Macaca mulatta: one gene and its partners. The main gene of each other region encodes a partner of the protein of the gene in region 7 in a complex. Links are inferred from orthologs where the notes say so. Each region holds a gene or a part of one and is shown on either strand. Other genes may lie near its edges.

Region 1 (4,154 bases), on a different chromosome or scaffold from region 7:
GGAGAAGGCTTGCTGAATTCAGGCAGAGGTGTTTTTTATGTTTTTTCTTCTCTTTTTTCCGACAGGTCAGAATCCGAGTCCAAGAAGCGTAAGCATAGGTAAGAGCTCTTTAACTCATTGGGGGCACAGTGGCATGTAGAGTGGTGATTTCTTTTTCTTGAAGTGAAGCTCAATACCTTGATCTTTCTCCTGTTAACATTCCCTAACTCTTTCCATTTCACTTTTGGTTTTATTTCCTTTTTTAAAAAAGTTACTTTTAACAATCTTTCCTTATTTCTCAGGTCTCCCACTCCAAAGAGCAAACGTAAATCTAAGGACAAAAAGCGAAAGCGGTGAGTGAATTTGTGGGGAATTTGCTTAGAAAGTAAGTGAACACCACCTTAGTGGGAAGGGGTTGAGTCAGTTATGTCCCTAACTGGTAAAAGGTTGAGGGGTAGGTGAGGAAAATCCAGGGCAGGTACAGCAGTACCCTGAGCTGTGGCGGTGGTCTTCCTTCAGGTCTCGAAGTACAACACCAGCCCCCAAGAGCCGCCGGGCCCACCGTTCAACTTCTGCTGACTCTGCTTCCTCCTCTGATACTTCCCGCAGTCGGTAAGGGGTAGTCCAGGAGGAAGGGAGGGAGAGGGAATGATGGGTTAATTAATTTAATATTTATTGAGCGCCCACGGTGTGCTAGGCGCTGCACAGACCATTCGGAAGACACGGTCCCTGCCCTCTAGGAGCTGACAGGCTAAAGCAACAGGATGGACAGACATATACATTTCCCCTTCTCTTTTTTTTTTGTTTTTGTTTATTTGTTATTTTTTGTTTCGTTCTGATGTATATGGACTGCCAGAATAGGGGGGGTGGTGGTTTGTTCGTGGTGTCTGGGGGAGGAAGGAATCCTTACCCTGGCTTCCTTAATCGGGGAAGGCTTCCTGAAGGAGGTGGGCTCAGAGGTGAGTTGTGAATGAAGCGGGTAGGGAGTGGGCTGGGTGGATGGTTTCGGGATGTTTGGGGGAGGTGAGTGAAGGGGTAGAGGGAGAACACTGTTTGGGATTGTGTTGGGAAGAGAAGAACCAAAGTGGACTGTACTTGCATTTCAGTGAATGATTTGAGTTATGCGACTAAGCAGGCTTTTTGGAAGAGGGTTGTACAGTTGGAAAAGGTGGATGGGAGTTGGGGAGGGGGTTTCCTGTTCTCCCTTTGAGCTGATTTCCTTCCTCTCCCCCATCCTCAATTAACTCCTGCAGGTCTCGAAGTGCTGCAGCTAAAACTCATACAACTGCCTTGACTGGGCGAAGTCCTTCCCCTGCTTCAGGGCGACGAGGGGAGGGAGATGCACCTTTCAGTGAACCAGGTACTACCAACACACAACGGCCTAGTAGCCCGGAGCCTGCTACAAAACAGCCTAGCAGCCCTTATGAAGACAAAGATAAAGACAAGAAGGAGGTATGTTACTGAGTTGGTGATGTTCATTGGATTGCAAGTATATAGATTTAGGATAAACTTGTGACATGAAAGGGAGAGGTAGTAACTTACTAAAATAAATTCGGTTATTTTTTTCTGCATTGATCTCCCAGTTTTCTTACTGTATCTGCAGAACTTGTAGCGTTGTTACTAGACTGAATTGTGAACCCTTTAGAATCAAATCTCACTGGATACTAATAGGTTTTATATTGTATCTTGTTTATACACAGAACTGGAAGAAAAGTTGTATTTTGTCTGTGTACGCCGTGTAATGCCTCTAGTTTCTTTTCTTTTTTCATTAAATGCTCGTTGTGTCTCACTAAAACTGTTTAATCCATTGGGGTGCCACCAATAGTTTGAATGAAACACTGGAATAGTCTTCAGTAGTTTTCTAATTTTAAGTGTTAATCATTTCCTCTTGCTTTAGTGATTACAGTGTAAATTCTTGGCCTCTGTCATCAATTTTCCATGTCATCCAGGATTACCTTTCCAAATTACAAGTTGGTTGATCTCAGAAACTTAACTGCTTCCTTATTGCTTTTGAATTACATTTAAGGCTTTTAATAATTTGGTCTTTTTCTCATTTCCTGTACTCTTTCCATCCTGGTCTGCTTTTCTACTCTTCAAACAAATCGTGTTCTCACATCTTTATTCATGTTGTTTCTTTTCCTTTAATAGAGTTATTCTTAAAAGGTGAAGTTGCCATTTGCTTTAGGAAACTGCTTATTTTTCCATTTAAAGATAGTTTTTTCCGCTTTGATAACATTTCGTAGTGGTATTTGTTGTTAAATGTAGTAGTGTGTTAGTTATTTGCGTTTAGTGTTTCTTTCAGTTTTAAGATTCTCAGATTATCCATATCTTCATATGTTTTCCCCACTGTTCTTTATATAATTCTTTGTTATTGAATGAAAGTGATTGCTTATGGTCAGGGGATGTGTAAAAGAAAAGTTATTGGAAAGGGTGTTGGGATCTTAGGAGTGATGTGAAGTCTTGGCGTTTATGAATCCCTATCCCTACTCTCTCTTTCACTCTTAGAAATCTGCAGCTCGACCTAGCCCCTCTCCGGAAAGGAGCAGCACAGGCCCAGAACCACCTGCTCCCACTCCGCTCCTTGCTGAGCGACATGGCGGCTCCCCACAACCACTTGCAACAACCCCCTTAAGCCAGGAGCCAGTGAACCCCCCATCTGAGGCCTCTCCCACTCGGGGCCGTTCACCACCTAAGTCTCCTGAGAAACTTCCCCAGTCTTCTTCCTCAGAGAGCAGCCCACCATCCCCTCAACCTACCAAAGTTTCTCGGCATGCCAGCTCTTCCCCAGAAAGTCCTAAACCTGCTCCAGCTCCGGGGTCCCACCGAGAGATTTCTTCTTCTCCCACATCCAAGAATCGCTCACATGGCCGAGCAAAACGGGATAAATCACATTCTCATACCCCTTCCCGTAGGACGGGGAGGTCCCGTAGCCCTGCCACCGCTAAGAGAGGGCGATCTCGGTCTCGAACCCCTACAAAGAGAGGTCATTCTCGATCCCGATCTCCCCAGTGGCGTAGGTCCAGGTCTGCACAGAGGTGGGGAAGATCTAGAAGCCCCCAGCGACGTGGCCGCTCTAGGTCTCCTCAGCGACCAGGCTGGTCTAGGAGCAGAAATACCCAGAGAAGAGGCAGGTCTAGGTCAGCAAGGCGAGGGAGGTCCCACTCTAGATCCCCAGCCACTCGGGGCAGATCTCGTTCTAGAACACCAGCCCGGCGGGGCAGGTCACGCTCTAGAACACCTGCTAGGCGGAGATCACGATCCAGAACACCCACCAGGCGTAGGTCTCGGTCTAGAACACCAGCCCGGAGGGGCAGGTCTCGGTCTAGAACACCTGCTAGGCGCAGATCTAGGACCCGATCGCCAGTACGACGGAGGTCTCGTAGTAGATCACCAGCCAGGAGAAGTGGCAGGTCACGCTCTAGAACCCCAGCTAGACGTGGCCGCTCACGCTCCAGAACCCCAGCCAGACGTGGCCGCTCACGCTCTAGAACCCCAGCTAGACGCAGTGGTCGCTCACGCTCCAGAACACCAGCCAGGAGAGGGAGGTCTCGATCTAGGACACCAAGACGAGGAAGATCCCGCAGTAGAAGCTTAGTTAGACGTGGAAGATCTCACTCTAGATCACCTCAAAGAAGAGGCAGGTCTGGCTCATCTTCAGACCGGAAAAACAAATCCAGAACATCTCAGAGAAGAAGCAGGTCCAATTCGAGCCCAGAAATGAAGAAATCTCGCATTTCTTCAAGGCGAAGCAGATCTCTGTCTTCACCACGGTCCAAAGCAAAATCTCGTTTGTCTTTGAGGCGCAGCCTTTCAGGATCTTCCCCATGCCCTAAACAAAAGTCACAGACGCCACCCAGGCGCAGTCGCTCTGGATCCTCCCAACCTAAAGCTAAATCTAGAACGCCACCTAGACGCAGTCGCTCCAGTTCTTCTCCGCCACCTAAACAGAAATCTAAAACACCATCAAGACGAAGTCATTCCAGTTCGTCTCCTCATTCTAAAGTGAAATCTGGAACACCACCAAGGCAAGGGTCCATAACAAGTCCCCAGGCCAATGAGCAATCTGTAACGCCACAAAGAAGGAGCTGTTTTGAATCATCACCTGACCCTGAGTTGAAATCTAGGACCCCTTCGAGACATAGTTGCTCAGGGTCCTCTCCTCCTAGAGTGAAATC
Region 2 (4,735 bases), on a different chromosome or scaffold from region 7:
TGTCTCTCAGACAAGAAACACGGAAGTAAAAAATGAATAGATTCTGGTAATGTTCAGTGGTATGAAAAAATGAAACAGGGTGATGTGATGGTGTACAAACACAAGTGTTGGAGGGGTGGGGGTAGGAAAACTTCACTGTGATACCTGAGACATGAAGGATGGTGATACAGTTATCTTGGGGCACAGGCAACAGAGAAAAGCTAGTGCAAAGGCACTAAAATAGAAGGAATCTTGCCCTGTTTCGTAAAACAGAAATGCCCAGTTGGCTGTGTCTAGAGCTTAGTGTGTAAGCGAGTGACTGATTGGAAGTGAAGTCTGGAAGTTAGGCAGGAGCCAGACTCCGTGGCGTCTCAGGTCACATTAAGAAATGTGATTTTTATCCTAACTGCAGTGAAATTTTACACAGGATAGTAACACCATTTGATTAATTTTAAAAGATCACTCTCTTGGCTATATGCAGCATTGACTGTAGGATAAAAGATGACGCAGGAAGATACAATAGGAAACAATTACAATCCAGGTAGGAGATGGTGTTGGCCAGGACAAGGGTAATGGCAGTAGAATAAAATTTCGGGTAAGTTTTAAAAGTAGAATTGGTAAGACCTGTAAATGAACCGTATGTGAAAAGTGAAAGAAAAGGAATTTAAGTAGGCACTCTGGGATTTTGGTTTGAGTAACTAGTATGATGATCGTGTCCTTTAGTGAGACGTGTAAGACTGGAGGAGGGATACCTTTAGTAAGAAAAATCAAGATTTTCATCTTGAACTCTATGAGTGAAAGGGCTTTTTCTGCTTTTCTTTCTTCATTTAAAAGTTGCAAAGAATTTAGAGGTAAGAAAGCATTTAAATATTCAACTTTGTGAGTTCTTTATATTTTAAACTAAGTTGGGGAAGTTGAATTTTCATTTGTTTAACAAATATTAATTGAGCAGCTACTATATGTCAAGGTCTATGTGATGAGATACTAAGATTAGCTAAACAATCAAGATCTCTGTTCTCAGGATTTTTTTTTATGGAAGGGAGGAGACAGGATTGGTGGGTTTTTGGTTTTTGGGTTTTCTCCTTTTCGTTCTTATTAAAACTTAACACTTAAGTAGCCATCTTAGTAATTACATCTTGTGCTCCTGGCAGTTGGGCCCACCGTTCTAAACGCTGTCGTAAATATTGACATCTCCCCTCCCACTAAAACTAACGTTTTTTAAATAAAAAATTTTAGCAAACATTACGAATACAACCTTTGCTTTGAAGTGTTAATATTTTTGCAGGAATGTACCTTTGTAAAGATCGTGGTTGCCCCGTACATATTTGTTCTTTCTTCATATCCAATTAAATGAAAACACTAGTTTTTCCGAAGCCCAACTCTCTAGGTTTGTTGGTTCTAGCTCAGGAGAAAGGATGGAAGCAGGAGTCGTTGGATTTAAACAGTTTGGTGTAATCCTTTTCCACGCTCTCTCCCGCTAGCCGGGGACGTGGTGTCGGCTACCCGGGGCTTTCCGTCCACGCAGTACCGGAATGAAGGAGTCTGGGAGGGGGTCGGGGACGGAAAAGACGGAAGAGACATTAAGTAATTGGTTCTTGAAGGTATAAAATGATATTTAGGGTCTACTCTAAGGCACTGATTTCAAACGCCCGCCCCCTGGGCCGTTTCGGCCCCGCCCCTTAGTGCCGTTACGCCGACTTCCACTTCGGCCACTGCGGATTGGTCGTTGCTTCCGCCTCCGAAGCGCTTGGATTTTGCTTCCGGGTCGTAGGCGCTAGCCCTGGGCGCAGAGGTTTCTGGGAGCCCGGAGTCGTAATGGCGTCTGTATGATCTTCGGAGATTGCTGCATCGGACCTCGGCCAGTGTGAGCGGCAGGAGGATAGGTTATCTTCCTCATCCCGGTGGGACGGGAAAGGGCAGTTGGGGTCGGAGTCGGCGGCAGAGTGCAGAGTGCGGGCGGTGGAGGACCTAGAGCAGCGGGCTAGGGGCGAAACGGAGTGCCTGTCAGGCGCGTCCGGAGCTCTCGGGCCGCAGAGGAGATCGCAGCATAAAAGGCAGCGCGCCTACCGCGTAAAGCGAACCCCAGGTCCTCCTTTCACTACCCCTCGCACCCCTGCGGCGCTGGGCACGGGTTAAGGGGCAACGAGTTTCTGGTTATAGCCAAAGACTAGCTCACGAGAGGCCGGAGTGATAATTCCGTTAGTGTGTGGGAAGGGGCGGACTCCCAGCTCCAGATAACCCCGTTTCTTCTTTGTATACATGTCTCTTACTCTTTTTGAAAATTAGGAGAAAGCACTCCCCCCCCCCAAAAAAATCCTCCCAGTTCGCCCACCCTCCCCACACACTTGCTTTTCCGACACTAACAGGGTTTTAATGACTGCATCTGCTAGGCAGTATTCTTGTGACTGCTCCAAGCAGAAAGTAACTTAAGGAATGGGTCCCTGATTTTTGTCATCAGAATCCTCTGGGGCTGAGGTTCCTGTTTTGTTTTTGTTTTTGTTTTTTTTGAACAGTCCTTAAGTTATAACCCACAAACGATCTGATTTATAATATGATGCCTGTTGTAGGAGAAAATTGGCTCAACAAAAGGTTAAGAATTTTTTTCTATGTACCTGTCATTGAAGTTTAACACACTTTCCTTAGTAACTTTTTTCTCAGACACTTAGTAACTTTGTCAGTGATATTTTTTGTTTGTTTTTAGCTTTTGTTTCTACTAGCCTATTTGCTATTGTGTGAAGTTTAGATAAAATGCAAACCTTAGAGAGTCTGGTAGAGTAAGGTTGAGTTGGAAATTTTTAAAACTTAGTCATGGTGGTACTGTATTTTTCAAGGCTTTTGACATGTCAAGTGTCATAATTCTTATAGTAATCCTATGAGGAATATCTCCATTCCACGGATGACAGAAAGTTAAGCCAGGTGACTTGCTCAAGCCCATATAGTCAGAAGGAGAATAGGGATGCAAACTCAGATCTTCATGACAGAATTTTTTGTACTAAGACAAGCCTGAGAAGCCCTATTCGTTGTATGGCCTAAGCCTCATAATTTGTTTTCCTGAAAACTTTTGTTTAAGAAGATTAAGCAGGTTTAGGGGAATGAGTTTTAGAATTTATTTCACTAGTATGGATATTAATACTCTGTAAAATGAGTGTTTGTATTGTTGTAAATAACTTGATTATATTTTTCTTCAAAGCATAAAAGATGACAACAGCAGCCAGGCCAACCTTTGAACCTGCAAGAGGTGGAAGGGGAAAAGGAGAAGGTGATTTGAGCCAACTTTCAAAGCAGTATTCAAGCAGAGACCTACCCTCTCACACAAAGATAAAATACAGGTAGTAAGACTTTCTTTTTTTTCTTTCTTTTTTTTTTTTGTTGAGACAGAGTCTCGCTTTGTCGCCCAGACTGGAGTGCAGTGGCCGGATCTCAGCCCACTGCAAGCTCCACCTCCTGGGTTCACGCCATTCTCCTGCCTCAGCCTCCCGAGTAGCTGGGACTACAGACGCCGGCCACCTGCCCCGGCTAGGTTTTTGTATTTTTTAGTAGAGACGGGGTTTCACCGTGTTAGCCAGGATGGTCTCGATCTCCTGACCTTGTGATCTGCCCATCTCGGCCTCCCAAAGTGCTGGGATTACAGGCTTGAGCCACCGCGCCCAGCCTCTTTTTTTTCTTGTTCACAAAACAAGACCAAATCTGTTAAATGGCATGGTCATGATATAGTAGTATGTTCGAGTTATGTCACTTATCTATTATCATAGGATTAGAATGCAATAGGATGTTTAACACTAAAATTCTGCCCTGTGGTTTTAAAATGCAAAATTCCTACTAACCAGAAATTTTCGTATGTAGATACAACAATAAATAACAGAAATAATAATGCCTCAGAGAGATTATGCACTATCAGCACCAGTCAATATATTAAAAGTATTACTGTTAAGTTCTGAGTTGATAATACCAATAAAAATTAAAGACATTTTAATCACGTAAAGCCTTATTATAGGAAAATGCGTGATTGAATTTGGACTTCTTGAAATATTGGGAACATCACAAGAGTGGCTGTTAGTAACTTTCAGATTAGATTATGATCTTATCTACTTCCCTTTTTTATGCTTGAAGGACAAAGTCTCATTCCTGAATTGTCTTCCATTACCACAGTCGTGTGTGTGTGTATGTGTGTGTGTGTTTAAGTACCATTTTTGCCCTGGTTTGTTTCTACTTTAGACAAACTACTCAGGATGCCCCTGAAGAGGTTCGTAACCGTGACTTCAGGAGAGAGTTGGAAGAAAGAGAGAGAGCTGCTGCAAGAGAGAAAAACAGAGATCGTCCAACCCGAGGTACCAACACTATCCAAGACATTTATCTCTAAAATTATGTTGTTGATAGTTTTTCTTTTATGTAGCAACTGGAAAATATTAACCATTTGTTTGCTTTTACAGATTGATGTGAGCTGTAATACTTTCTTAAGTCATTAGAGATAACAATAACAAATATTTACCAAAGGCTTATTTGCCCAGGCACTGTGGATGTGATTTCACTGTGGATAATGCTTTCAGTGTGGGCTCCTCGTGCCCACAGGTCCCTAAAACATTTTAAGAAATGCAGTATTTGTTTTACTAAGTTAAGTGATTTTTGTTTCCCCTCAGAACATACAACCTCCTCTTCAGTGTCAAAAAAGCCACGGTTAGACCAGATTCCTGCTGCCAACCTTGATGCAGATGACCCTCTAACAGATGTATGTTTTGTTTTCTCCTTTCATCTCTAA
Region 3 (4,870 bases), on a different chromosome or scaffold from region 7:
GTAAGTCCTCTGGTAACGTTCAGAATTTCATATATAACAGAATTCATGCTTTAAAACAGTCCCACATTCTAGAGTGAAGAGGTCAAATCAGATCCCAAAGTCTTCTCATAGTCCTTTTGCAGATCTCAATTCCTTTTCCTTTCTTCTCTTTTTTCTTTGAGACAAAGTCTCGCTCTGTCGCCCAGGTCGGAGTGCAGTGGCATGATCTCGGCTCACTGCAGACTCTGCGTCCTGAGTTCCTACGATTCTCATGTCAGCCTCCTGAATAGCTAGGATTACAGGCACTTGCCACCACGCCCGGCTAATTTTTGTATTTTTAGTAAAGATGAGGTTTCACCATTTTGGTCAGGCTGGTCTCAAACTCCTGACCTCAGGTGATCAGCCCACCTTGGCCTCCCAAAGTGCTGGGATTACAGGCATGAGCCACAGTGCCCGGCCAGATCTCATTTCTTAACACAGAAGGTGGTATAGACAGAAGTACACAGTCCAGCCTTACTAAGCATACCCCCTTCCAGTTGTCCGTTGTTTCACCTGCTAAACTTCCACCCATTTTTGATTCAGTACCAAAAATTATGCAGATTCAATTGTTTTATACTTTAACCAGACAACTCAAGGCATATTTTATATAGTTCAGAAAAATGCTGTTATCTGGTAACCAGAAGGCATTATTCATGTGTCTAGGAACACTAACCTCACCTTGCCCTACAGAATCCAACCAGCTTTTCAAACTCTGACTGATACACTCTTAACAATTAGTGGACTGAAAGATACCACACTGACTGACCTTCCTTTTCCTTAGTTTATAATCATTTAATTCTTCTTCATCTGTGATCTTCTGTTGAGGTGGAGGTGGAAGAAGCTCAAGTTCTCTTTCTTTAGCCTCTCTTAAGAGTTGTTCAGCAGTTATCTGTACCTCAGCCGGGGCTTTGTTTTTCACCTTTTAAGAACAAGACATTTCTATTTTTAGTAGATGCTCTTCACACAAGGTTTAAGAAACAAACATACATTTTTTAGGATATGAACTTCATTAGTATTATCACAAGATGCTCTCTTTGTATGACATGTTCCCATCCTCCATGAGACTAAAAAGAAAAAAAAATACTATGTTTTCTCTCTTATTCATGGTATCTACTACAAAGCCACAGGTAAAAGTCTCAAGAGAAAAAGGTGGCAAAAATAATACCAAGTTTTCCCTTTTAGATGAGTATAATAATAAACTTTGAGGCCGTGTAGGTAAAATTCTGACCAGAGGGTTTATCAAGATGTGTAGCACATCTTATTAATAGCATTACCACCTGCATTTGCAGAATTCTTCAACTTATTTAATGCCCCTGGTGGAAAAGTGGGTATGGTTTTTCACGGAACCTCAAGTCAAAGGCACTATTCAATAAGTTCCCATCATTAGACTGTAAGTTTCTTGAGGTCTTAGAAGTTTATAGTCTAACATAGCTTAGAGCTGTGCTGTCCAACACAGTAGCTATGAGTCACATGTGGTGAGCACAAATTGAGGTGGACTGTAAATGTAAAATACACACTGGTTTTGAAGATGAAGTATGAAAAAAAGAACAAACTATCTCACAGTTTTTATACCGATTACATGTTGAAATTATAATATTTTGGATACATTAGTTCAAATAAAATATATATTATCAAAATTAATGTCACTTTTTTTGCTTTGCTTTTACTTTTTATTTTTTTATTTATTTTTTATTTTTTTTGAGACGGAGTCTCGCTCTGTCGCCCAGGCTGGAGTGCAGTGGCGCGATCTCAGCTCACTGCAAGCTCCGCCTCCCGGGTTCACGCCATTCTCCTGCCTCAGCCTCCCGAGTAGCTGGGACTACAGGCGCTGCCACCACGCCCGGCTAGTTTTTTTTTGTATTTTTAGTAGAGACGGGGTTTCACCGTGTTAGCCAGGATGGTCTCGATCTCCTGACCTCGTGATCCGCCCACCTCGGCCTCCCAAAGTGCTGGGATTACAGGCGTGAGCCACCGCGCCCGGCCTGCTTTTACTTTTTAATGTAGATAGGAGAAAATTTAAAATTTCATGTGCCGTGCACTGTATTTCCATTGGACCGGTGATGCCCAATAAAAGTGTACGCAGCTGAATTATAAAAATTGTTATTTAATGCCACGTGTGGAGTAATGATAATGGTGATAGCTCATATTTAATAAGCACTAAGTGCCAGACACACTGTTACTTGCTCTACATGCATTACTTTTGCGAGTCAGACAAATAGTTATGTAAAGGTCCAGTTCAAGAGAGTCATCTGGGCTCAAGAAAGACTGGAGGGAGGATATCTGTAAAGGCTTCAGACAAATTCTGACACATATTAAGCACTTCGTAAGTATCAGCTATCGAGGGAAATACCAGATAGTAAATCTACTGTTTAATTAACTTATGATACTATACTACTACTGCCGTCTATTCTCACCCTCCGCTGTCAGCTGGGCTAACTCCTATTCAGTCTTCAAGTCTCAGCTTAAAGGTCATTTCCTCAGCAAAATTTACTCTCAGGAACCCTTCATACGACCCCCTTATTCACGCCCATGGCATATTCTACTTTGCCTCTCAGTAACATCTGGCAAGATCGTCCTCATACACACACTCGTGTTTTGAGTACTGCTTCTGGCCAGCGTCCGAGCGTAGCTTCCCAGCGCCCAGTGCAGTGCCTGGGTCAGTAAATCTTCACTGAACCACTCCACTCCTCCTCCCTGCAAAACCGCCCCATCGTGCTCCGCGATGACAAGAGCCCGCGCCCCACCACCAGCTGACCCTTCCTCTCCATCTCTCAGGGTGGGCCCTCTCCCCGGCGGGAACACTGTCTCCCGCCCGGGGCACCCCCAGGGCTGAGGGATGCCCCTCTCCTGGGCCACCTCCCACAAGGCCCCTCGCGATCGCCTACCTTGGCCACTTTGGGAATCCGCTGTTTCCCGGCCGCGGTGGAGGCCGCCATGTCTGCAGCAGCGGACCTCGGGGCACCTGTCTCCCGCACGAAAGCTAGAAATCCGCGGTCTGAGAGCTCACCGAAACCACAAAGCTTTCCGACAACAAACAGGATCCCGGAATCGGAAGCGGAACTCGCCAGGCTGACCTTTGACCTCTCGCATGCGCCGTGACGGACGTGGCACCGTTTCCATGGGGACCAGGCTGCGCGTCCTCCTTACAGCAGCGCGCGGAGTGCGGCGTCCTGGAGCTGCGCGTGAGGTGGGTAGCGCCGGCCTGACTAGCAGCGACGCGAGGACTGCGGTTCAGGGCGTCAAGGGCGTATCCCCAGGTCAGCCTCCAGAACTGGGATGACCAGGCAAGGAAGAGAGGCTCTGTCTAGCCGTGGCGCCCTGCAAGGGAGTAGGGTCGAAGCTCCAATCTGGATGCTCGAGGGGCGGGGGAACGAAGGGAGAGCGAGGAAACTACCATTCCCAGTATGCGAAGGGGCGAGCTGCCGCCCTTTTAGGCTGTCTGGCTCTGCATTGCATTCTAGGTCTTGTAGTCTCTGGGTCCACGCCCCCTCGTTTCTGGTTTCTGGACAGTTGTGCCCAAATAATTAACTCTAAGGCTTGGAATTAAAAATAACAGAAGGTACTTAGAAGCCAGATATTAGGACAAAATGAAAGTAAAAAATAGAGTAACTAGAAAACAACTCAGTCTTGTGATAAGAAATATGTTTAAATTCTGTGTGTGCCTTAATTACTCAAATTTTCTTAGCCTCAGTGTCCTCAACTATAAAACAAGGGTAATAACATCTGTTTCACTAGGATTAAAGACAAATTCTCAGTAAATGTAGCTATTATAATACTTAACCTGCCCTCAAAAACGGAAAAATTAAGCAAAAGTTAAAAGAATTTTTTTAATAGACAAATTTTTAGAGAAGTTTTAGGTTCACAACAAAATTAAGTGGAAGGCACAGAGATTTCCCCCCTCAACAGCTTCCTGCCATCAATTATTATACCTCTTCCCCACTTTAACAGCCTCCAACTCTCAAAAATATCCTCCACCAGAGCGGTACATTTGTTACAATCATGAACCTACATTGACACATCATTATCACTCAAAGTTCGTAGTTCATGTTGGGGTTCACTCTTGGTGCTGTACATTCTATGAGTTTGGACAAATGTACAATGACACGACTTGGCAGCACATTTGTTAGAATAATTTTCATAGTTGCAAGGCTCTTTTGGTTTTTGGGGAAAATATATATTGTGTATGTAGTAATATCACGTCTACCAATGCAGCTATTGCTTTCAAAAAAAGATTTATGCAGATTTCTAGAACTGCAGTTATAACCAACATCAGTATTTTTGCCATAACTCTTTATTAACCATATTATTTAGATATTTGATCTCACTTTTCAAAATTTAAATAGAGAAGATTTTATATCACTTTCATAAAGCCACCTAACAAAATAAAATATATTAAAAAGATGTTTCTTTGAAATGATTTTCCTTAAATGTGTAACTGTAAACAATTGATTTGCCAAATGAATCATTGATTTAATCATCTGTTGCCTTTGCTCAAACGTACAAACATGTTAGAATACTTTGCTTCTGATCACCATCCTTTTATCTCTCATTTTTGTTGTCTGGCAATTCAGTTCATCTCTCTTTTTTTTTTTAAGGAAAAATGTATTATCCTTCTTACTTTTTGCCATCAATGCTTTTGTAGATACACATTCGTGTTTACTTTATTTCCCAGCATTTAATCTTTCATCCCACTTCTTTCTGATTTTAACTTTATTCTTCTCAGAATATACCATCTCCTAGTTCTTTCTACAAGATTCTTTGAATTTCTTTCAGTCTTTGCATGAAATTGTCTTTATTTTATCTTCATTTTCAAGGGATTGTTTAGCTCGGTTTATCAGTCTAGGTTAATGGT
Region 4 (3,873 bases), on a different chromosome or scaffold from region 7:
CTATGTTTTTGCCCTTTGCAGGTTCACAAGTTCAGTCTACAATAGCAATGTCCAATACAGTGGTCAGCCACATTTCAAGTACTCAACAGTCACATGAGGCTAGTGTCTATCACACTTGGATAGCTAAGCACAGATACTTTTATCATCCATGGAAGAGGGGGTTAACTATAGCTGCTTCCAAGACAGCAAGGGAGCCGGGTACGGTGGCTCACGCCTGTGATCCCAGCACTTTGGGAGGCCTAGGTGGGCGGATGCCGAGGTGGGCGGATCACGAGTTCAGGCGATGGAGACCATCCTGGCTAATATGGTGAAACCCCGTCTCTACTAAAAATACAAAAAATTAGCTGGGCGTGGTGGCAAGCGCCTGTAGTCTCAGCTACGCGGGAGGCTGAGGCAGGGGAATCGCTTGAACCCGGGAGGCGGAGGTTGCAGTGAGCTGAGATAGCGCCATTGCACTCCAGCCTGGACAACAGAGCGAGACTCCGTCTCAAAAATAAATAAATAAATAAATAAATAAATAAATAACCCAGACAGCAAGGAACATTTCCCATATGTGAAGCCTGTGGTACTAGCTACCAATTCCCCAAACGCAACCCCTCTCCCCAACACCTTGGCTCCGGTATATTTTGTAGTACAGGCTCCCAAGAGAAAGAATGCATGAAAGTACTTTGTAAACCATTAAGTGATACAGAAATGTGATATGATAAACAGGCTCAGAGTTCTTACTTTCGTCATAGCTTTGGCTACTTCAAGCAAATTATAGCTCTTTTCTCAAACTACTCCCACCCCTATAATTGATGCCAAAATGTTCTGAAAAGAAACACAGGCAAAATGGTTATCCTAGGGCTAAAAATCCTGATTATACCTACCTTGAGGTTTTTAATCCAGGACCCTACTTCACCACCCGCCTTCTCTGTCACTGTCTCTACAAAGGAAGGACACGAATTAAGACTTCCAAAAGAACAAAATATTTATTTTTTAAATTTAAGAATTATCAGACAGCTAAGTAACGGGAATTGGATCCTCATCGGGGTCTTCTGGCAAGTCGGAAGCACCACCACCCTCTCCTGTAGCTCGATGCTTCTCTAGTTTAGCAATCAATTCTTTCGCTGGATTGAAGACGCCATTGGTCTGCTGGTCACAGACATAGCAGCGCGGGGTGGTGCGGAAATGCTGCAGTGCACAGCTCTCGCAGAAATAATGCCTGCACTTGGTGACAACTGGGTTTTGGAAGCTCTGGCGACAGATGAAACACTTGAATGGTATTTCCTCATCATCGCTTCCCACTTCATAGTTTTCATCCTCATAGACACCATAGCGACCCTCATCAAGCTCACGTTCGATCTGCCACCCATGCTTGTAATCTGAACGGTCATGGAGGAATTTGCAGCTGTCTCCGAAGCCGCAGAAGCCAGTCTCTTTGTAGTCCTTACAGATGTCGGGCTGGTAATCCCAGCGCACCGTGGCACGTAGATGCTCGGGCGCTCGGATGGGGCCCTTCCTCACCATCCCGGAAGAGGCATTGCCCATAGACGTATCCTTGGGCTTCATGTATTTCTGATAATTGTTGATTCCCCGATAGATCTTGTCATCCTCCTTGCCCCTCAGCTCCTCCTGGATCTTCTGGCTGCGCTCAAAGATGGCTTGTGCATCGCGCTCTTTCTCTGTGTCCAGCTCATAGACAGCTGTCGCCCCCATATCCTCTGGTCCCACGGGTTTCGCCGAGCGGGTGGATTTATAAACCACGCCGAGACTCTCGGGCTCATTTTCCTCCTCCTCCTCGCTGCTCAAGTCGCCGTAAGCTGCCTTCTGTTTACCACTGTCACGAGTCTTCTGTATCATTGGATTGTGAGTCGCCCGCTTCTTTTCCGGTCGAACCACAGTGCAGCCTTCGTCGCTACTGCTGCCGCTGTCTCCGGGCTCTGGGTCGCAGGCCGGGCGCTTTCTGCGTCCAGCAGCCCCTTTCCGCCCAGGCTTTTTGAAAAGGAAGGTGCACACCTGATCCGCCGTCTTCCCTGGAGAAAACTGCTCTGCCATTTTAGAGTCCCGAGCTCCGAAACGGCCGTCGCTGCCTGGGTTGCACTTGGCCTCTGCGCGTTACTCCACGTCGCGCGCTCCGCCGGGAGTCGAAGCAAAAGACACTGACGGAAGAGAACTGCGAGAGCGCGAGCGCCAGCCTCTCTTGAGCCCTGGCAGATCCCGTCGCTTCCTCCGGAGCCGTACGTGGCACCGCCCCGCTCGCGGGCGGCCGCGGGGCTTACTGGGAAGGGAGCCGAAGCCCGGTCACCTTTCAAGGACCCAGAAGTAGGGTTTTGGCCTAGATAACGGGGCAGAGATGTGGTTCGAGATTCTCCCCGGACTCGCCGCCATGGGCGTGTGCTTGTTTATTCCAGGACTGGCTACTGCGTACATCCAGAGGTTCACTAACGGGGGCAAGGTAAGGCGGCTTCCTGGGCCCGGGGGCTGACTCCACTGGCTGATTTCTGAAAAGGATGGTGGGCAGAGAGTCCGTCAGCCTGCGGACCCTCTCTCCGAGGCCGGCCCTCTATTTTCTTCCGGTTGCCTAGAAGCCGAGGCTTGCGAAACGAAGCGCGGTAGAAACCACATCCTGCTCTGGTGAAAAACAGCGTTTCTGGGTGTATCAAAGTGGGCCTTAGGGCAGAGTAGCGACGCGGGGGCCGGAAAGGTAGATTAGAAGAGGTGGCTCAAGCCTGAGAATCCCTCACTGCAACCTCCGCCTTCCGGGTTCAAGAGATTCTCCTGGCTGGGCGCGGTGGCTCACGCCTGTAATCCCAGCACTTTGGGAGACCGAGGCGGGCGGATCACCTGAGGTCGGGAGTTCGATACCAGCCTGACCAACATGGGGAAACCCCATCTCTACTAAAAATACAAAATTAGTGGAGCGTGGTGGCGCATGCCTGTGATCCCAGCTACTCGGGAGGCTGAGGCAGGAGAATCGCTTGAACCCAGGAGGCGGAGGTTGCAGTGAGCCGAGATCGCGACACTGCACTCCAGCCTGGGCAACAAGGGCGAAACTCCGTCTCAAAAAAAAAAAAAAAAAAAAAAAAAGATTTTCCTGCCTCACCCTCCTGAGTAGCCGGGACCACGCCCGGCTATTTATTTATTTATTTTGGTAGAGACGGGGTTTCATCATGTTGGCGAGGCTGGTCCCGAACTTCTGACCTCAGGTGATCCACCCGCCTTGACCTCCCAAAGTGCTGGGATTACAGGCGTGAGCCGCCGCTCCCGGCCACCCTTGACTTTTTTATTCCCCACTTTCTCTTGCAAGCGTTTAGGAATTTACTGCAAGGTCTTGTGTTTTACATCAGGATTCATTTTCCCCTCTTAGCCCTTCACATCATCTCTAGAGTACAGAGTATAAATTTATTTACTTTTTGAATTTGTGATTGTCCACGTGTGATCTACAGCTGTTGTTTCTTAGTGTCCCAAAAGGCAACAACTAGATATTTCTTTTTTTTTTCTTTTTTTTAAAAAGGAAAAGAAATTCATGTTGGTTAAAATAGTGTAAGAAGTCACGGTCACCAACTTAATCCTAAAGTGTAGTGGTCTGATTTTATTTAGGAGATTCTGTTCTTGTACTACTAATTTGCATTTTTATTTGAATGATGATTCCATTTCTCTAGAATGTCCCTTCTAAAAATTGTAATATCCATCAACTGGGTCACTCACTTTTATAAACTGCAACAATAATTGTCTCTTATTTGAAGGAAAAAAGGATTGCTCATTTTGGGTATCACTGGAATCTGATGGAAAGAGATAGGCGCATCTCTGGAGTTAATCGTCACTATGTGTCAAAGGTAAGAAGCCACTCTGATGCCAGCCTTCTGCCAGGGTTGAGGTGGGTTCTGGTAA
Region 5 (4,864 bases), on a different chromosome or scaffold from region 7:
ATAAAATAGCCGGGCGCGGTGGCTCACGCCTGTAATCCCAGCACTTTGGGAGGCCGAGGCGGGCGGATCACAAGGTCAGGAGATCGAGACCACGGTGAAACCCCGTCTCTACTAAAAATACAAAAAATTAGCCAGGCGCGGTTGTGGGCGCCTGTAGTCCCAGCTACTCGGGAGGCTGAGGCAGGAGAATGGCGTGAACCCGGGAGGCGGAGCTTGCAGTGAGCCGAGATCGCGCCACTGCACTCCAGCCTGGGCGACAGAGCGAACTCCGTCTCAAAAAATAAATAAATAAATAAATAAATAAAATAAAATAAAATAAAATGTGTTACTTGATCCTATCAAGACTTTCAACCCAATTTCTAGATTATAGGAAATAAAGGGGATAAAGAAACAAACCACAAAGAGGCAATGAGACAAACCGGAAGGGGGAACATTTGCATTCCTGGTTGGGGCCTTCAAGAATCAGTGTTATGAAATGAGGGTCTGTTTAGGGTTACAAGCGATTTATCTCTTGGGGCCAGGAGTTCAAGACCAGTCTGGGCAAGACGGTGAGACCGTGTGTCGACAACAAATTAAAAAAAAAAAAAAAAAAAGCCGAGTTCGAGACCAGTCTGGGCAACACAGTGAGATCCTCTCGAAAACAAATTAAAAACAAAAAAAAGCCGGGCATGGTGGTGTCCACCTGTAGTCACAGCTACTCGGGAGGCTAAGGCAGGAAGACTGCTAGAGCCCAGAAGTTTAAATTTATGGTGAACTATGATCACACCACTGTACTCCAGCCTAAGTGACACAGTGAGACCCTATCTCAAAAAAAAGAAAAAGATTTAAGATAATTTATGTAGTGACTTCCTTCCAATGGGTATAATACATAATACGTAAAGAGGGGAAAGAAAGAGTAATTTTACAGTGGAGAAGCCTGACAAGACTTCAGCCAGGTGATCACGCGCGTGTTGCCCAGGCTGGAGTGCGGTGGCTATTTACAGGTGCAATCATGCAATCGTAGCACACTACAGCCTCAAACTCCTGGGCTCAAGCGATCCTCCTATCTGGGGCTACAGATGAGCACTGTGCATGGCTTGAAAAAGGGATTTTTGTTTGTTCTCAAAATTTTGTCTGCTTCAAACTATTTCCCACGGCCTAGATCTAAGCTCCGGCAAGCTCTGGTGCTGCTTAACTCTCTATCCTCTTTTTGTGCCATTCTCCACTTCACTATAACGATCCTGCCACATTCATCTTCCTTCTGGCTCCTTCCTGTTTTAAGGCCTTTGCCCATGCTGTGTCCCTGCTAAAATGCCTTTCTCATGATGGCCAAAACAGAAGTAACCACCACCTTCTACTGCTGTTTCTCATCACCCCATTTATTTGCTGCTGAGCATCATCTTTTTTGTTTGCTAACCACCTGTCCCCCCTACTAGAATGTAAGCTCCTGAGGGGCAAACACTTCCCCTAACTTGTTCACCATACTCCAGCATTTAGAGCAGTAGTTTACATATACGGTACATGCCCAGTAAATATCTGCCCAGTGAATAAATCAATAGGTCTTAAGATCATAACTACAAAAGAAGCCGTAAGTTACAGACTGCAAGCCATCTCTGCTTCTCCTGATATGAAAACACTAAATATGAGTTACTTTTGTTTCTAAGACAGATTCTCGTTCTGTCACCCAGGCTGGAGTACAGTGGCCCAATCCCAGCTCACTGCAGCCTCGTCCTCCAGGCTCAAGCAATCCTCCCACCTCAGCCTCCTGAGTAGCTGGGACACCACGCCAGACTAATTTTTTTTTTTTTTTTTTTTTTTTTAGCAGAGATGGGCTTTTGCCAGGCCGGTCTTGAACTCCGGGACTCAAGTGATCTGCCTGCTTCGGCCGCCCAAAGTGCTGACATTACAGGTGTGAGCCACCTCACCCACCTGAAATTGTTGTTGTTTTTTTTTTTGAGACGGAGTCTCGCTGTTGCCCAGGCTGGGGTGCAGTGGCGCCATCTCGGCTCACAGCAACCTCTGCCTACCGGGTTCAAGTGATTCTCCTGCCTCAGCCTCCCGAGTAGCTGGGATTACAGGCGCCCGCCACGCCCGGCTAATTTTTGTATTTTTAGTTAGAGACGGGGTTTCATCATGTTGGCCAGACTGGTCTCGAACTCCTGATCTCAGGTGATCCGCCTGCCTCGGGCTCCCAAAGTGCTGGGATTACAGGCGTGTGCCACCGCGCCTGGCTACAAAACTGCTCTTTTTAAAACATCTTTTTTTGAGACATGGTCTCACTCCGTCGCCCAGGCTGGAGTGCAGTGGCGCAGTCTCAGCTCACTTTGGCCTCTGCCTCCCGGACTCAAGCAATCCTCCTGCTTCGGCCTCCAGAGTAGCTGGGCCTACAGGTGCACACCACTGTGTGCGGCTAATTTTTGCTCCCGCTTAGCTGGGATTACAGGCACTCGCCACCATGCCCAGCTAATTTTTGTACTTTTAGTAGAGACGAGGTTTTGCCATGTTGGCCAGGCTGGTCTCGAACTCCTGACCTCAGGTGATCCCCCCGCCTCGGCTTCCCAAAGTGCTGGGATTACATGTGTGAGCCACCACGCCAGGCCCCAAGGACTCACTTGTAACTCACTTACCTCACCCCGGCCCATTTAGCCATCTAGCGAACGGGCCCAGCCCTTACCAATAGCAAACTCCACCAGGGTCTCGTTCTCCTCCGACAGCGAATCGAGAAATAAATCCAGGACCTGCAGCTGCCGCAGATACTCGTAGTTGCTGGGGTCATAAGCGAAGTTGGCGAGGTTGGCGAGGACTTGCTCCTTGGCGTCTGCAACGGGAAAGCGGCACTGGAGCCAGGTCCGGGCGGCGGTCACAGCCGACCCTGTCACCTGGTCCCACCGTGGCTCTCACCTTGGCTCTGGGTCTCCTGGAATTCCGTGACCAGCGCCTGCAGGTATCCCAAACGCCCGACGTGGGGGTCCAACTTCGGCTTCTGGGCCATGGCCGGCGTGACGGAGGACCCCCAGGGACGGGCGGGCGGGTGGGAAAGGTGCAGGGGGAAAGCCGAGCGAGACCCTCACCCACTCTCCACCTGTCTGGCGAGGGAAGACGCGGGGACGGCAAACGGGTTTCTTTCTTGGGTTCAGACTCTGCAGTAATTTGCAGCTGGAAATGGAATGTGGGGAGATGGGCCGGGGTCTCAGAATCCTGTAGGAGTTGGGTCTGAAAATCGAAATTGGGGCGCGGGAGACAGGGAACCGTCTGCGGGCTGGGGCTGGCGGAGTGGGTACTGGCGCCCAGCCCCCGGCTGCCGGGCTCGGTTCCAGGCTCCCGGCGGAAGCCGCGCTGTCCCCACCCTACAAGGCGCGGAAGGGGCGGGACGAGGCAGGCGAAGGGCGGGGCCGTCGCCGAACTCCTTGGCGCGCGTGCGCGGCGCGCTTTCGGTTTTCTGGCTGCGGAAGCTCTTTAGCCTGCGCTGGAACCCGCTGCGACACGCTTCGCCGAGGGAGGTATGGGCGTGGGTGGGTGTACTGCGAGGAGCAGCCTTGTCTCCCATATCCTATGTCCAGCTGCAAATTATTGCAAAATCTGAACGCAAGAAAGAAACCCACTTGCCGCCCCCGCCAACAGGAAGGCGGGTGAGGGCCTCTCTCGGCTTTCCCGCCCCACCTTTCCCACTCTCCCGCCCGGCCCCCCGGGTCCTCCGCCGCCCCGACGTGGCCCAGAAGCCGAAAGTGAGGCACCCATGTCGGGCGGCTGGAATGACGTGAGGAGCAACTCAGGAGCGCAACGGAGTCTGGCAGCACCCATGTTGGGAGGACGTCGAGGCAGAAGCACCTCCAGGATCCCCATGGCTGGCGGGGCGCCCCTTTAGAGCGCGGGCGTCAGCTCCTTACCCACCCCCATCAGTCTTTTGACCCTTTTGCAAAAAGCGTAGCGACCCCGACCCGTCCTCTATCCCAGCCCCGAGGTGAGTCCGCCACCTCTGGACAGAAATCAAAGGGGACGGGGTCATGTCCTGGTGCTTTTTGTCAGCCGGGTGGATGGCGCGCGCCCGGGGCAGCACCGGGGAGCCGGAGGAAGAGCCTTGTTTGTGGCGCTTTCGGGGCTTTCTGGATGCTGAAGCCCTTCGGCCGATTCCTTCTCGAGGATTCTCGGGAAGCAGGTGTGTGATGGATTACTACTCGTGGTTACAGGGAACAAAGCACCAGGGAAGGAGGTGGCCTTACTACACTCCCATCGCGTTTGACAACGTAGGGGTAGAGAGGTGGCTTAGGCTGTGAGTGTCCTGAGAATGCAAAAGTTGTTAATCTAATTGGAGTCACTTGTGTTAAAAAAACAGAACAAAAAAACCCGGACAGAGTCGGAGAAAACCATGACAAGAGGGTTCTCATGCATAAATATCTGATAATGAAAACTATCACAAAGATTCTGCAAAAACCCCAACCTTGCACAAAACATACTTTTGAATGGCCATCTGCCCAGCAACTTTCCTGTCCAACGTTGAACTGGTCACCCTTGTTACTAATTCTTCTACCTAAGGATAATTATCTCAAAACAATTATGTAATCCTATTTTTTCCCTTAAAGCCTTTCTTTCTTTACCTCCCTGAATACCCATATAGTTTACTATGGCATGGATACTACCTTTGCAATGCCCTATGCCCAAATAGATACTATTTTCTTTGAGAGAGCCTCTCCTATTAAGGTTGACAAAGGCAAGGACCATATCTTAAGTCCTGGGCCTGGGTGAAGGCAGAGTGGCCTACACGCTCCAGCCAGCTGCAGCCCCATTGGAAGCAGGCCTCACCTCTGAGGTTTCAGGTCCTTGTGGTCAGCCCCTGCCCTATGCACATCCTCTGACGCAGGAGTTTCGACCTTAGTCTGTGTGCCTA
Region 6 (3,657 bases), on a different chromosome or scaffold from region 7:
TGCCTGGGGCTGGGGCTGCTCACCTGCGCCTGGCCAGGACAGTATAAACTGCAGAGACGCAATCTGCAGGGGCCTGGACCTCTACAAAGTAGTAAGGCTCCATCAGACGAGGAGTAGCCTGCAGCAGAGCAAGAAGAAAGGTCCCTCAGCTTAGGGAAGGCTGAGGGCCTATAGTCCCACTTGTTCCTTCACTTAGTCCACAGTCCAGCGAAGCAGATGGTCTCCTACAGCCCCATTCTCTTACCATGAGGAAGGCAGAGTAGACGACTCGCCTGGCTGTGGGGATGATCTGGCCCCCACCCCGGTGTAGGGGCTCCTGGGCAACCACTGCATCCAGGATCTTAAACTTGACGTTCCGAATCACTGTAAAGGAGGTGGAGGCAGTGACTGGGGAGAGGTTCTGGGCCTGTCACAGGGCCATGGTGGAGTAGCAGTCTCCTGCAACACTGCAGCTGTCTTGCAGTCATGAAAGACATGATACAAAAATCACATGGGAGGTGGGCGTTCTAACTGAATAAGCAAGGCCCATGGCAGAGGTCAGAAGTTAAGCATAGGTTCTTAGTGTTTGCTTCAGGCCATGCTCAGACATAGAGCTTTCCTAGAAGTTTATTTCTTTCTTCTGCACATATTTACATTTTTGTGGATGTAGAATTCCAGAATTGTACATTTGGTGCACGAAGCCCAATCAAGGTCTATTAACCACTCCAATCTCATCATCCTCTTGGTATCTCTTCTCAAATATGTCCAAGGCCAAACCCTTCTCAGAAATGAGGAGCAAATGACAGTTTAGAAATGACTTAAATTTCCAGGCTACACCACCAGGATAAGGAAGAAGGGAAGAAGCTGGCCCAGGACACGGGATGGTCCTGTGTACCCCAAGCTGCTTCTCCTGCCGGGTCCTAAAGATGGTGAGCCCATCCCACTCATATGCCTGGCTGCAAGGACCCTCGAGGACTGGGGTGGGGGAGTGCTGGTGGACTTACATTCATCACAGAGGGGGCCCTCCCTTGTTCCCCACTGGAAACCTTGAACGATGCTATCCTTCACTGAGCCAAGAAGAGCCTTGTCCACCTACAGAGAAACATGAGGCCTCCTTAGCAGTCACCCTGACAACAGCTGAAGCGTTTAGAGGGAGAAGATAGATGTGCCTGTAAGGGGATACTGTCCTTCATCAGAGGACACAAGATACTCTTGGGAAAAGAACACTTTGTAGTTTCTTCCACTCCAGAGGTAAGAGACTGCCACCCGGCTCCCATCAGTTCTGCTGTACCTCAGAGGGCAGAGTATCATCCACCAGAATGTTGGGGCCAGTCGCATCAGGGCCAAAAGCCCAGATGGAACGGGCAGCTAGTAGATCCCAATCGTACTTGGTCTGGAAGAACTCTCCCAGCTTCTTCCTGGGGAAAGGAGGGGGACAATGGAGCTGTCGGCCAGCTCTGTGATTGCTGGTCCTGGAGCCATAGACCCTCCCTTCCTGGAAGACAGTCACCTCATCCTACCCACTGTGCCCAGAACAAGAGCAACGGCAAAGACATAAATGCTTCCCAGAAAGATGTGTGCTCTTAGAGACCCGGCAGGTAAGCTGCGGCATCCCTGCCTCCTTTCGATCCTGGTGTCAGAGCCCTCCTCTCACCTGTTCCATGTAATCTGGACCACCTCATTCTCTATGTCCTCTGCCAGGCCCTTCTCAAGAGGCTCAGCAATCATGGTGATCTTGTTCCTGGTCAGAATGGAAATGGGTGGTAAGGACGGCTAACAGAACAGCAGAAGAGGCATTCCTAAGAAAAGGGTAACAAGATGGACAGTTGAGGAAGTAATATCGGTGAAAGCCACGGGGGCCAAGTGTGGTGGCTCAGACCTATAATCCCAGCACTTTGGGAGGCCAAGGCAGGAGGATCACTTAAACCCAGGAATTTGAGGCTGCAGTGAGCTATGGCTCACACCACAGCACTCCAATCTGGGTGATACAGCAACACACTGCCTCTTAAAAACAAACAGCTGGGCGTAGTGGCTCACGCCTGTAATCCCGGCATTTTGGGAGGCCAAGGTGGGGGGAACACTTGGGCCCAAGAGTCCAAGACCAGACTGGACAACAAAAAATAAAAAAATTAACAGATGGCATGGTGTATACCCACAGTCCTAGCTGCTGGACTGCTTCAGCCCAGCAAGTCGAGGCTGCACTCCAGCCTGTGTCAAAAAAAAAAAAACCCAAAAACCAAAAAGCGAGTAAGGTTTGGAGTAAACTTTTTTTTTTTTTTGAGACGGAGTCTCGCTCTGTCGCCCAGGCTGGAGTGCAGTGGCGCTATCTCGGCTCACTGCAAGCTCCGCCTCCCGGGTTCACGCCATTCTCCTGCCTCAGCCTCCCGAGTAGCTGGGACTACAGGCGCCCGCCACCTCGCCCGGCTAATTTTTTTGTATTTTTAGTAGAGACGGGGTTTCATTGTGTTAGCCAGGATGGTCTCGATCTCCTGACCTCGTGATCCGCCCGTCTCGGCCTCCCAAAGTGCTGGGATTACAGGCTTGAGCCACCGCGCCCGGCCTGGAGTAAACTTTTAAGATAGTTATTTTATAGAGGTGAAGTGGCAGTTATGAAACTCCTCTTGGGAATATCCAAGGTGAATAATCCCATGGCATTGCGTTCAAAGGCAGAAGGGCTGAGAGGGCTGGAGTGAAACTCAAGTATTGTAAGCACCCCCCATTCTGAGATGTAGGGGTCTCTGTGCACAGTGCTCATGGTGGGGGTGGAGGTGGAAGATAAAGGAGAGAGAGTGTCCTGGAGGCTGCAGTCCCGGGGACACTGTGCTCCCAGCTTACTTCTTATTAGGAGTTTCAGCAAAGCACTTGAGGGAGGATGTTTCCACCACCGTCTCACAAAACGTGACAACTGGGTCAGCCACCTGGGAAATAGAAAATAAATTACTGAAGCGAGGTCTAATTTTGTTGGAAGGGCAACCATTTACCTAAGGGAATTCAGAAGCTCCCCTTGACACTACCTCTGTGAAAATCCCAACTGCCTTAATCAGCACAAGTGACAAGTACAACAGCAGGTTAAAAGAGCTGTCCAAACCATCACCAAAAAGCCCGAGAAAATTTACTGTAGTAAAGAAATTAGATTCCTGAGCCAAGAATAAGTGGGATATCAAACTAGGGCCTTAATTCTAGTCTTCCAAGATAGCTCTCAGCATCCGTTTGGCTGTCCACCACCATTCACTGAACAACCCCCATGGGTCTGACAGAGCTGGTGCTAGAGACCCACTGGTGTGCACCCGTGCCATTCTCAACCCACAGCGTCTGAGTGAAGCTCTGCCCTGAAGCCCCAACATGGTCTGCTGCCCAGGAAACCTAGTGTTTTCTGCGACACCAGTGCTTCCTAGATACATCAGTAGAGGAGTCTAAGAGGAGTACCGAGGGTCTCCACAGGGCCTTGGAGAAAATACGTCTCAACTAGGACAAAGAGGCCAAGTAATATACGGTTTGAGGGGCTACATCAAGGCTTGACAAAGAATCCGGGAGAGACAGTTCCCACTCTCTCCTTGAAACCACCCACTCTGAGACCTAATCACCACCCATGGGTTAATTGTGCAATTACTTCCCTAACAAAGCACCAAGAATAACTTTGGCTTGGGAACTTTTATTGTTGAGACAGAGTCTCGCCCT
Region 7 (3,339 bases):
TTCGGCCATCTTGGAACCTGACCCAACAAAGTTTAAACAGCAGAATAAAATAATTTTCAAGTTATCTCTCTCCTAGTAAAGTTTTCCTTCCCTTCCGTTGTAATAGAGTTATTTAACCATTTATCAAATTTTTGTTTTGGATTTTTTTTTTCAAGTAGCTTCTACCCATGTAAGGAAGTTATTAAACCAAACAGTAGGATATAAAGCGATAACAAGGAAGAGATGTATAACCTACAAAGAGGAAGGAGAGTTTACATCTGTCTGGAGCAGCCAGAGAAAACTCTAAGGAGATGCATTTGAGCTGCCTTTTTGGGAGATGTATTCACCAAGGGAACAGACATTCCACGTAGAGGGAACAGCTTGTACAAGAAAATGGGGACGGGCACAACAGGTAACACGGAGAAGTACAGTTGTCCCTCAGTATCCGTGAGTGATTTGTTCCAGGACTCCCATGGATACCAAAACTAGAGGATGCTCAAGTCCCTGATATAAAATGGCTTGTATTTGCACATATGCACATTCTCCTGTATAGTTTGTCTCCAGATTATTTAACAATACCTAATACAATGTAAATGCTATGTAAATAGTTGTTATACTGTATTGTTTAGGGAATAATAACCTTAAAAAGTCTACACTTCAGTACAGACTGACTTTTTCCCCAAATATTTTCAATCGGGTCGGTTGAATCCACAAAACCCACTGAATGGAAGGGCCAAGTAGGGTGCAGTGAGGCCTTGGAGGAAGGATATCAAAATAAGTGGCTAGAGGGGAAGGAGGAGCTTGAGGTGGAAGCCGGAATGTGTGGGAATTGGTGCTGTACTTGCTCACCAAGCACCCTGGTTAGAGCTGAAATAACTCTTTTATGCCACAGACTCCTAAAAGACATAGCTGGGACCAGAACTTGTGCCTGCCGACTTCTGGGTAATCCATCCCTGGTTGTGAAGGGATGGCTGTGCTACCATGATAGCTTTGGAAAACACGGAGAGTTTATTTTCGGGGCTGCTTGTAGTCCAGTCCTACTTGGGTTTCCCATTTCCCATCAGCCCCAAGCCACCCACGGATGCTCCCCACCTCCCAGACATCACCCTCCACTAGGTCCCCAGATCACTTTTAAAACGCGACCAGGGGCCTGGCGCAGTGGCTCACGCCTGTAATCCCAGAATTTTGGAAGACCGAGGAGGGAGGATCACGAAATCAGGAGTTCGAGATCAGCCAGGCAAAGACAGTGAAACCCCATCTCTACTAAAAATACAAAAAAAAAAAAAAAAAAAAAAATTGGCCTGGCGTGGTGGTGTGCGCCTGTAATCCCAGCTACTGGAGAGGCTGAGGCAGGAGAATCGCGTGAACCCAGGAGGCGTTAAGTTGCAGTGAATCGAGATCGCGCCATTACACTGCAGTCCCGGCAACAGTGCGAGTCTCTGTCTCAAACAACAAAACGAGACCAGGAGTTCCAGAAGACTACGAGCACGAACTCCCAAGACCACAAGTCCCAGCATGCAAGGCTCCCTGTTGGAAAAGGGCTTCCCATAGCCACCAAGTGGACCATCATGCAACGCTCTCTGACGGGGCGGGGCTCTCTACAGGGGCGACACACTTGTGGCGTCGCCTCGGCAACTCCAATTCCGTGACAGAATGTGCTTCCGCTTCCGCCTTTGAGCCCTATGAGCGAGACTTACGCTACTTAGTCGTCGTGACGCCATTCTTCTGCGACGGCGCGGGCCTGGAGCTTCCGCACGGTGGCCTCACTCCCGCGTGAAACGCCAGAGCGGCGGTTTGTTGTCTGCGTCCTCTGTCCTGGGAACTAAGGGGAAAGCGGCGAGATGACGGACCGCTACACCATCCACAGCCAGCTGGAGCACCTGCAGTCCAAGTACATCGGCACGGGCCACGCCGACACCACCAAGTGGGAGTGGCTGGTGAACCAACACCGCGACTCGTACTGCTCCTACATGGGCCACTTCGACCTTCTCAACTACTTCGCCATTGCAGAGAATGAGAGCAAAGCGCGAGTCCGCTTCAATTTGATGGAGAAGATGCTTCAGCCTTGTGGACCGCCAGCCGACAAGCCCGAGGAGAACTGAGACTCTGCCTTACCACCACTGTGCGGGGCACCTCTCCCAGTGTTCCTCAGGTTGGCCAATCCCTTCGACTATTTCTGCCTCCAAAGGACCGGCTCTCCATGGCTCCTGCGTCTGGTACTTCCGCGTACAGAAGTGCTTGCCCGGGGAATCCCGCCTGACCTGCCTTCATGTGAACCCTTTGGAATAGCACTGGGAGACCAGCAGAACTCCTGAGAACTGTGCTGGTGAAGAGGGCCTAGAGCCGGCAAGCGTTTGAGAAGAGGGCGTGGCGCTGGAATGAGATGGGATTTGGCGTCTCATTTTTGGCTAATTGATTGTCATTGGCTTTTTCCATAAAGTTTAGAAATCATTAAGTCTCTTGGTGTGAACTTCCTGTGTTAGGGTGGAGGGCTCCTGAAAGACCCGAGCGGGAAATGGGTCGGGGGAGGGAGTGCATGCCAGTGTCCATGATCAGGTACTTAAATCCACCCTGTCTACCATTATAATTAATTCCCCGACTGCCACTTCTCCCAAGAGCGTTATTTTCAGGCCCACAATGCCTTCAGTATTGAAGTTTGTAGTTATTGTATCCCATTTTCTTTTTCTCCCGTTTTAAAAGTCTTTGCAGTCTTTGCTGTCATTGTCCTCCTTAGCCTCTTTAAAATGCATCCTTTCTTTTTCTTGGGAATTTGTGGCCATGTCTCCAGAAATGACAAGCTGGCAAGTGAGTTCATCCTTTCTATATTCAACAAATATTTGTTGAGCTCTATGTGACAGGCATTTTCCCATGTTCTTGAGGCTTACATTATGCTGGTGGTGGAGAAAGGAGGTCAAACACTGTAGACGTAATAAGTAAATGTTAGAAGATGCTGCGGGGAGGGGAGAACAATGTACGTGGTGTGGGTGGGAGTAGTTGGTAGGGCCATAATCTTAAATATGATACACAAGTTACTGAGATGGTGACATTTGAGCAAAGACTTTAGGGAAATGAGGGAAATAGCCATGCGGAAAACTGGAGAAATTGCTTTCCATGAAGAGGGAACTGCCAGTGCAATGGTACTAACACTGGGAGTATGTATGGTTTATTGGAGGACCTGCAAAGAGGCAAGCATGGCTGGAGGGGGTGAGCCAGGGGAAAAGTAGAGGGACAGGTAATGGAGGGGGAAACGAGTAGAGCCTTGTAGGACAATATATGAACCTCTGAGGAGCCATTGGAAGGTTGTGGGTTTTTTAATTTTAGTTTTTAAAAATAAGAGATGGGTCTTGCTATGTTGGCTAG

Evidence for each region.
Region 1: SF3B5 (region 7) and SRRM2 share a complex: the UniProt entries of both Homo sapiens proteins name them as parts of the minor spliceosome. The link is inferred for Macaca mulatta from reciprocal best matches to the Homo sapiens genes SF3B5 and SRRM2.
Region 2: SF3B5 (region 7) and CWC15 share a complex: the UniProt entries of both Homo sapiens proteins name them as parts of the minor spliceosome. The link is inferred for Macaca mulatta from reciprocal best matches to the Homo sapiens genes SF3B5 and CWC15.
Region 3: SF3B5 (region 7) and CRNKL1 share a complex: the UniProt entries of both Homo sapiens proteins name them as parts of the minor spliceosome. The link is inferred for Macaca mulatta from reciprocal best matches to the Homo sapiens genes SF3B5 and CRNKL1.
Region 4: SF3B5 (region 7) and RNF113A share a complex: the UniProt entries of both Homo sapiens proteins name them as parts of the minor spliceosome. The link is inferred for Macaca mulatta from reciprocal best matches to the Homo sapiens genes SF3B5 and RNF113A.
Region 5: SF3B5 (region 7) and ARMC7 share a complex: the UniProt entries of both Homo sapiens proteins name them as parts of the minor spliceosome. The link is inferred for Macaca mulatta from reciprocal best matches to the Homo sapiens genes SF3B5 and ARMC7.
Region 6: SF3B5 (region 7) and EFTUD2 share a complex: the UniProt entries of both Homo sapiens proteins name them as parts of the minor spliceosome. The link is inferred for Macaca mulatta from reciprocal best matches to the Homo sapiens genes SF3B5 and EFTUD2.

What each region holds. Positions count from the first base shown.
Region 1 is NC_133425.1:4,056,009-4,060,162, reverse strand, and holds part of SRRM2 (serine/arginine repetitive matrix protein 2), read left to right. Parts: intron 1-65; coding exon 66-98; intron 99-281; coding exon 282-332; intron 333-498; coding exon 499-591; intron 592-1,232; coding exon 1,233-1,431; intron 1,432-2,484; coding exon 2,485-4,154. UniProt on the Homo sapiens protein: Required for pre-mRNA splicing as component of the spliceosome. As a component of the minor spliceosome, involved in the splicing of U12-type introns in pre-mRNAs.
Region 2 is NC_133419.1:95,762,551-95,767,285, reverse strand, and holds the start of CWC15 (spliceosome-associated protein CWC15 homolog), read left to right. Parts: upstream 1-1,750; 5' UTR 1,751-1,843; exon of another isoform or gene 1,844-1,862; intron 1,863-3,169; 5' UTR 3,170-3,177; coding exon 3,178-3,308; intron 3,309-4,194; coding exon 4,195-4,307; intron 4,308-4,616; coding exon 4,617-4,705; intron 4,706-4,735. UniProt on the Homo sapiens protein: Involved in pre-mRNA splicing as component of the spliceosome. Component of the PRP19-CDC5L complex that forms an integral part of the spliceosome and is required for activating pre-mRNA splicing.
Region 3 is NC_133415.1:63,971,161-63,976,030, reverse strand, and holds the start of CRNKL1 (crooked neck-like protein 1), read right to left. Parts: upstream 3,090-4,870; 5' UTR 2,955-3,089; coding exon 2,904-2,954; intron 938-2,903; coding exon 785-937; intron 1-784. UniProt on the Homo sapiens protein: Involved in pre-mRNA splicing process. As a component of the minor spliceosome, involved in the splicing of U12-type introns in pre-mRNAs.
Region 4 is NC_133426.1:126,364,404-126,368,276, forward strand, and holds RNF113A (E3 ubiquitin-protein ligase RNF113A), read right to left. Parts: upstream 2,253-3,873; 5' UTR 2,038-2,252; coding exon 1,003-2,037; 3' UTR 896-1,002; downstream 1-895. UniProt on the Homo sapiens protein: Required for pre-mRNA splicing as component of the spliceosome. As a component of the minor spliceosome, involved in the splicing of U12-type introns in pre-mRNAs. E3 ubiquitin-protein ligase that catalyzes the transfer of ubiquitin onto target proteins.
Region 5 is NC_133421.1:84,790,812-84,795,675, reverse strand, and holds the start of ARMC7 (armadillo repeat-containing protein 7), read right to left. Parts: upstream 3,045-4,864; 5' UTR 2,972-3,044; coding exon 2,881-2,971; intron 2,798-2,880; coding exon 2,654-2,797; coding exon of another isoform or gene 2,622-2,653; exon of another isoform or gene 2,250-2,621; intron 1,949-2,249; exon of another isoform or gene 1,915-1,948; intron 1-1,914. UniProt on the Homo sapiens protein: As a component of the minor spliceosome, involved in the splicing of U12-type introns in pre-mRNAs.
Region 6 is NC_133421.1:69,232,076-69,235,732, forward strand, and holds part of EFTUD2 (116 kDa U5 small nuclear ribonucleoprotein component), read right to left. Parts: intron 2,898-3,657; coding exon 2,815-2,897; intron 1,721-2,814; coding exon 1,634-1,720; intron 1,398-1,633; coding exon 1,271-1,397; intron 1,072-1,270; coding exon 984-1,071; intron 364-983; coding exon 245-363; intron 119-244; coding exon 24-118; intron 1-23. UniProt on the Homo sapiens protein: Required for pre-mRNA splicing as component of the spliceosome, including pre-catalytic, catalytic and post-catalytic spliceosomal complexes. Component of the U5 snRNP and the U4/U6-U5 tri-snRNP complex, a building block of the spliceosome.
Region 7 is NC_133409.1:49,347,817-49,351,155, reverse strand, and holds SF3B5 (splicing factor 3B subunit 5), read left to right. Parts: upstream 1-1,719; 5' UTR 1,720-1,820; coding exon 1,821-2,081; 3' UTR 2,082-2,412; downstream 2,413-3,339. UniProt on the Homo sapiens protein: Component of the 17S U2 SnRNP complex of the spliceosome, a large ribonucleoprotein complex that removes introns from transcribed pre-mRNAs.